Bombyx mori: one gene and its partner. The protein of the gene in region 1 purifies or fractionates together with the protein of each later gene. This does not show direct contact. Links are inferred from orthologs where the notes say so. Each region holds a gene or a part of one and is shown on either strand. Other genes may lie near its edges. The genes, in order: WW domain-containing oxidoreductase and WW domain-binding protein 2.

What was found.
Region 2: the proteins of WW domain-containing oxidoreductase (region 1) and WW domain-binding protein 2 purify together in Homo sapiens (affinity purification with mass spectrometry; 3 studies listed by BioGRID and IntAct, with this or other methods). This does not show direct contact. The link is inferred for Bombyx mori from reciprocal best matches to the Homo sapiens genes WWOX and WBP2.

The regions. Positions count from the first base shown.
Region 1 is NC_085118.1:4,747,592-4,750,740, forward strand, and holds the end of WW domain-containing oxidoreductase, read left to right. Parts: intron 1-437; coding exon 438-578; intron 579-2,073; coding exon 2,074-2,253; 3' UTR 2,254-2,434; downstream 2,435-3,149. Other genes in the region: putative transporter SVOPL, read right to left, coding at 2,580-2,659. UniProt on the Homo sapiens protein: Putative oxidoreductase. Acts as a tumor suppressor and plays a role in apoptosis. Required for normal bone development. May function synergistically with p53/TP53 to control genotoxic stress-induced cell death.
Region 2 is NC_085117.1:14,735,374-14,739,914, forward strand, and holds the start of WW domain-binding protein 2, read right to left. Parts: upstream 2,827-4,541; 5' UTR 2,647-2,826; coding exon 2,591-2,646; intron 1,402-2,590; coding exon 1,227-1,401; intron 791-1,226; coding exon 631-790; intron 37-630; coding exon 1-36. UniProt on the Homo sapiens protein: Acts as a transcriptional coactivator of estrogen and progesterone receptors (ESR1 and PGR) upon hormone activation. In presence of estrogen, binds to ESR1-responsive promoters. Synergizes with YAP1 to enhance PGR activity.

The DNA of each region.
Region 1 (3,149 bases):
ATTACTTCATTCAAATTGTAGTGTTTATCGACTCACATTACTATTTTATACTAACTGTAGAATTAAACAAATAGATATGTATGTACAATAATAAAAGCCCAGTCATCGTTCTTGTCGAACCCGTCGGTTGCGACGAAGGGCTCGACGAGTAAATTAACCCTCAGACACAGCCCACTGAGTTTCTCGCCGGATCTTCTCAGTGGGTCGCGTTTCCGATCCGGTGGTAGATTCTGCAAAGTACGGCTCTTGCTAGGGTTCGTGTTCGCAACGTCATTAGGTTTGAGCCCCGTGAGCTCACCTACTAGTTAAGGCGACGCTGATATAGCCTCTCAAGGCTATCAGCTTAGGTAGGAAAAAAAATAAAAAAATAATAATAAAAGATACCATGAAATTCATACACTGAAATTTTCTAATATAAAAATTTTATAAATTTGCAGATGTTAAGCGAAAAATGGAAGGCAAAAGGTATATGCGTGAATTCTCTGCATCCAGGTAATATGGTATCTACAAACTTGAGCAAATCGTGGTGGCTGTATAGATTGGCATTCTTTTTAGTAAGGCCCTTCACTAAATCTTTGGTGAGTAATTTATTTATCTTTTCAAAGAATTTAATGGCAGTCGAGGAAACGGAATGGTAGACATTGCTATGGGCACAACAAAACCTATTGATATTCAAACCACTATACCGTTTGAGATACATGTCTCAACCTCAGGGTAGAAGTTTGAGTTCTGATAGAATAATGCCTGAAATACTGAAAATCAGAACAGTTGAATGAATCTTGGTTGTCATACTAAAAAAAATTACACTTACATGTATGACCAATTGTAAAATAGTAGTGCCAGTACAGGCATTAATACATATAGAACTGATATAATAATAATTATATGCATTTAAATATATATATAAGTTAAGGAGATGCATATTGGGTATGTAAAAAAATGCACATATTATTTGGTTTTGGAACGTTGAGTACACTCGTTGGTACTTCAGGGAACATTTATGCCAGGGTACTGTAGGGCAGGGATGGCCAACTTGATTAAAACCAAGATCAACTGTTTACTGACGAAACACTACAGTCAGCCAATGACATTTCTTGAAATTTAATGAAACAATGTAATTCAGTATACAAATAAGTAGTATATTTTTTATTTATTAAAAAGATTTACATAGAGCTGAAATAATATAATAAAAGAGAACTATTGTGTGGAAGAGAGGATAAATAATGTGACGTAATGGTCATTTACAAATGATACAAGATGAAGATGATGTGTACAGCATTTATATTTTTTGTCTTGTCACGATCGACTCAAGTAATAGCCATGATCGACCGGTCGATCGCGATCTACCGTTTGGCCACCTCTGCTGTAGGGGGGAATGATACCCCGCCACGTTTTTCCCCTACCTATGCTGATAGCCTTGAGAGGCTATTTCAGCTTCTTAACGTGTAGGTGAGCTGACGAGGCTCAAACCGGAGTGTTGCTAACACTAGCCCGGATCGGAAACGTGACCCACTGAGAAGATCCGGCGAAAAACTCAGTGGGCTGTGTCTATGGGTTAACCCCGCCCCGCTTAGCTTTCTAGGCAGTTAGTAGTTAACCCTTATACGTTAGTTAGTCGTTAACGTGTAGCGATCCACCGCGGTCGCTGACGCGAATAAACATATGTTTTATTGACTGACCACTCCGCTGTGGTTTCCCGAGGACAATTCACACAACAATAAATAACCTCACTACAAATCTTACAGTAACATATATGTATTTAAAAGCTTTTTTTTATTGCTTAGATGGGTAGACGAGCTCTCAGCCCACCTGGTGTTAAGTGGTTACTGGAGCCCATAGACATCCATAACGTAAATGCGCCACCCACCTTGAGATATAAGTTCTAAGGTCTCAAGTATAGTTACAACGGCTGCCTTACCCTTCAAACCGAAACGCATTACCGCTTCACGGCAGATATAGGTAGGGTGGTGGTTAGGTACCGCGCGGACTCACAAGAGGTCCTAGCACCAGTAAGAAGAGTTCACGCATTGGGCACAATACGCCCTGCCGTAAACAATTATAATATTTGTCTAGCAACAAGCAGCAGCGACGACTGTCTACGCAGCGACCGCCTCAGAGCTCGAAGGCGTCACAGGATTGTACTTCAACAACTGTTTCTATTGCGAAGAGTCTGCGCTGGCAAGGGACAAAGAAATAGCACAAGCCGTCTACGACATGTCGCTTAGGCTGATCGAAGATATCTCGAAGACATGATCACGGATAATTTGTGAATTATTGTCGTACGTTATAAATAAAGTGAAATCGGGCTTAGTCGTGATACGATTAATGTACGGAATTGTTTTTATAAGGCGAAAGGGATTGACGTCACTTCACATCGTACATTGATGTATCGTAAACTCGAATAAGAAAAAGGGGCAATAAATGTAAAAATATGTTTTTATTTTTTATTTACTTAGATCCCCCGTGCAGACTCAGCAAAAAAAGGTATGTACAGCTATAAATACACCCGTCAAATAATTAAAGCAAATTCCGTAAAATGAAGTGTATGTAATACGCATGTATCAAAATTAAGTACTTTTTCATAATCTTGTTATTTTTGAGGTTTTCGGTTTATGTTCCTCTCTTGATTTTGGCAACAAGAGCGTAAGACCGCCGCATACTGTAATGAGAAAAAAATATATGTTAAAAAGGTCAAAGATTGTTCCAATTGGTGCATAATATGGACTTGTAATTGTCTAATTTTTTCTCTCGACTAAATGACTATAACAGTAAAGTAAAGAATAGTAATTCCCAAGTTTTAATTGAAAAATTTAGCATTATTTTGTGTACGATGTGCTTATTAAAACCCATTCTTTCTTTCTTTTTCACCATCGTTCCGGATCGTGACTCTGCTGTAGTTTTCTCACTGTTTTTCCCCCCCTATTCCTAACCCTTTTCCTGGTAGAGAGTTCGTTGATCTCCGCTGAGAGTAACCTGGTCAGACCATCGCTTTAAGTTTCGGCCTCTGGACGTTTTGTCGGTAAAGATAAGCCTTTCATTAACAATGTTAAGTCTCGCAAAATTGATGAATTTTTTTGGAACGCTGTCTAGGGAATTCTCATCATTCAGAGTCAACACATTTCAAAAGGGTCTATTCGATACTTGCTAGT
Region 2 (4,541 bases), on another chromosome or scaffold:
GAGGTGGCGAAGCACCAGCTGCCATATGACGAGAAGCTAAAAAAAATTATATTTTATTTATTATATATTGCTAAACATAATTTGATATCATATCAAGGATTGCTTTATATAGAAGAAATTGCTCATATGTAGAATCAATAGATAATTAAGTCTTTTTTAATGAATTCTAACAAATCTTATTACTTTTATACACTTTATTGTTTATTTTTTTCTTGCCCATGTAGGCAGACGAGCATACGGCCTACCTGATAGTGAATAAGCAGAGTATTATATACACTTGACATTGGCGAAATCTAAAATGAAACGCCATAAACCTAAGAGATAGATAGATAGAATGGTTAGCGTCGCTCATGGATTTCAGCAATGCCAGGGGCAGAGCCAAACCGCTGTCTACTATAAAATTTTTTGGTATTGTAGCTATAATACAATATTAAAAATTGAGGTAAGGGGCCTTTCAATAACTTTTAGTGATATAGCATGGAAGGTAAGCTCTTGCTTCAATAACAACAACCCAACATCATTTCAAGGTTGTGATGTAAACATACTCTTCAGTAGTCTTCAATCGAATTCAGTAACTGATATAGACTTGTCGCATTCAATTATGATTAGGTAGGCATTACTTTTACTCACCAAGATGAGCAGCTTTTAACATGGCTTGTCCATACTCAATAGCACCTCCTGATTTGAAGGTAAGCTTGAATTTGACCTCACCAATAAAGTTGCCATTAGGTTGGGCACGAACTTTACCTTTTATACAGTTGGCAGAGAACATAGGTTGTTCCACAGTTACCTATAAAACAATATCAATTCACATCGTCATAATCATCAACATTGCCCGAAATACTGCTGAAGACAGGCTTCTATTAAGTCTCCAGCTGTAGGGAACACAGATTCCACTTATTCACACTATTCCCCCTGGTGCATAATATTGCAACAAGCTTTTATATAATATAAATTTTATGTTATTACTATGGACTCATTTGCAGTGAATTTGCAATTTAAAATGGGTTCATAACAATCAAATATTAGCTATTTATCTATATAATTATTTATTAATAGTACTGATTTCTTTTTATTGGCTCAGTTCATGTCAATGAATATATTTAATAACTTTTTAGCCAAGACAGACAAGAGACAGATTTCTGAAAAACCAAACTGCATTCAGCAGTAGTTTATTTAGTCATCATATCCTATGTTGTTCTTCATCTAACAAATAAATTACTTACATCTTGCAATGCAATAAAAGGAAAACTGAATGATCTCATGGCATCTGTATTCTTCTTTGAATTGTAAATCATTCTATGAGTAGTGAGGTACATCCGTCCCTCCTTGATCCCCTTAAACTCTGGTGTATCATTCCCATAGAATTCAACTGACACATTGTCAGAAAACAAGATGATGCTGAAATAGTAAAGTAAATAAATAAAAAAATATCAATATAATGATAATCATTCTTTATCATCTTCTAGATAAAATTGTCAATATTTCATATGCCACTAAAGATAATATCTAGTGTTATATTAATCTGAAGTATCCATTGAATCAACCCTTTTTTCACCAAGAGGCCAGTCGGCCTTATTTGTACAAACAAGAAAGTTTATTGAAAAGTATTTTTTGCAAAATAGTTTCAAAAACGACACATGAGTCATCTATTATCAAAGGTGGCAATCTGTGCATTTGGACAAAAAAATGTTATTGATATGTCAATACAGATTGATTTGAATATAATCGTCTCCTTCAAAGAATATGGTTCAAAACCTGCATTAAATAAAGGTTAATACTTAACCTGTTATTTATCTAGGATGTCGTTCAGAAGAGTTTTGTAACTGCCAATGGAATACAAAGTCAATAATTCGTTTTTCTGATTTACCAATAATTGTCCAAAAGTCACATTGCCGCCTTTGATAATAGTCGACTCACATCAAGAAAATTAAACTTTTCTTTGTTTGTTTGTTTTTTTTGTCATTTAGAAGGCACACTCGCTTGTGAAAATGGTAGTAATGACCAATTTAATTTTTTCTTATATTATAGTTATAAAAACTTAACAGTTACTTACTTATATTGCAATTTTGGAGTCTTTTGAGATTATTAAAAAATTTGGTTAATGAACACAAACAAAAGAACTTTATGGAAGGGTTGGGACAAAATTAACAGATCATGATCTCATATATTGGGACAGAGACAGTGCATAATTAGTTGACTAATAATTTCTAAGCAAGTATGACATATTATAATGTTCCACATCAACGTTTTTACAAAGGTGGAATCTCTATTAACAAGAATATACTATCTAAATATACGTATTTCATCTGGGCATGATGAATTCTGAATTAAACAGACAAGACATGTTACCTCCGTAACTGGAGCCACGCATAAACAGCTTATATGCTAGTAGTTATTAATTTTTTTCATATTTTTCATTATACCATTATTATTATTTTTATAATAATAATTAATGATGTGGCGGCATAGTCTAATATAACTATGAAACATTTGTTTATACTTTAATACCTACAAAGTATTTCTTCGATTAAAGAATGGTACAGTTAAGCGTAGAACATTCTGAAAATATGAAAACAAGATGACTCACCATTCCCCTGCGTGTATCAAAACTCCGTGATCGGCGTGAGCGGTATTTAAAGACATAATGCAATTATTGTGCTGATTATATATAACATTTAACCACTAAGGTTCAAAAAACTTAATTTGAATCGAATCCTGTGTCGAGTGTCTTTATTACGTTATTTACGATCGTAATCAATCGTAATCACCAAATTGTATTAAGCATACATTAAGTGTATAATCTATGTTCAGAGGGACTCTGTTAGACATGCGTAGTTCCGGACCTAAATAGTTCCTGGAACTATGTCCTCATATGGAACTATATCATTCAATCCGAGTTGTCAAAATTAACATGTTCAGACAGTTCCATTTCCATTCCAAGTGTACTGTTATGCAGGAACTACGAACGCGTTGAACATGACGGACATGCGGACATGATTAGAGCATAGGTACCGCGCGGCGCGGAGGCGTGGCGCGGCGAGTCCACCCGAACGAGTCTCGAACCGACACGAGTCCACGTAAAGAGATAAGGCGACATATGGCACGAATACGAGGGAGTGAGATGGAGCGAGTGCATGAAACTGCGTGTGGAGCTCTTTCATATTACATTTTTATTAATATTGAAGTTATGCTCTACGACCTACGTGTTACAGTCGATAGTTGAATAAATTAAAATGTTTTGCTATGGATTTTGACCTTGACCATGCATCATTCCTACGAGCACTTAACCTTAAGTGTTTGTAGACCATTTTTTAGAAAATCATAATTCAAAATTAGAGAATTTTAAAACATTCACCACTTTCGCTATTCGGTATCTCGGTTATGGGAAAAAGGTTGTAAGGCTACAACGAGCTCAATTTAAGTTGTATATCAGAATAACGTGGTATTTTAATTAACAACTGATAGGTTATAGTTTCCGGTGCATCGTACAATACATTGAAAAATAATGAAAGTAGTAGAGTAGTTGAAATTATGACAAAGTAATTAGAGTACATTAATAAATTATGCAACCAGCTGTAACAATGAACCTTAAACTAAAAACCTTACAAAATAATAATTACAATAATAATTACCATAAGCGGCAATCTATTTTTATATAGTGCTTTTAAAAAATTGTATTTTTAATACCTTTTTTGAAAAATATTGTGTAATAAATAATAACTTAATACGTGATTCGCTACACTACAAACAGCTACTAGACTTAACATGTCCGCGGCACTAAACAGCTTCAAACAGCTACTAGACTTAATATGTCCGCGGAACTAAACAGCTACAAACTACAAACAGCTACTAGCCTTAACATGTTCGTGGAACTAAACAGTTCCGCGAACATGTTTACTGGAACTAGTTCCGACACTCAAAAGAACGATGTCATGTTCAATCCAGTTCCGAACATGATTAGCGCACGTCTAGACTCTGTTAAACTTTTTTTTTAAGAGATTTTTATGACCTGGTAACTGAGACCTTTAAGTCATGTTTTATTTTTATTTATATTATTCATATTTTTATGAAAAATGATATTAAGGACTGAAATGAAATGAAGATGATTAATTTGAGACACTAATCAATTGGGATGAAATTAAATGAAATGAATTGAGATGATATAGGATGAATTAAAATCTCAGTAAAATTATGGTCATTTACTAAGATTTTTTCAGTGGACTTTTTGGAGGATCCCGAGAAGTTACGTCCAGCGGCTTTGTTTCATTTTCCCATATTTGTGTACTTTCACAGATACTAAACAGTTAATAAACCACCGTTATTACCTACGAATAAATAATAATTAATAATTAATAAAATAATTATTTTATTATATTTATTACTATATTTATTACTCGGAACAAATTTCAAAAAAAAAATGGCCCCACTTGAAACCAAAACGGCTTAAGAAACAAAAACCAATCACAAACGAGGTTGGAAATAGACATTGGTTTGAATTCAAAACGAAAACAGAGATTGGTTAATGTCTGCTATGACAG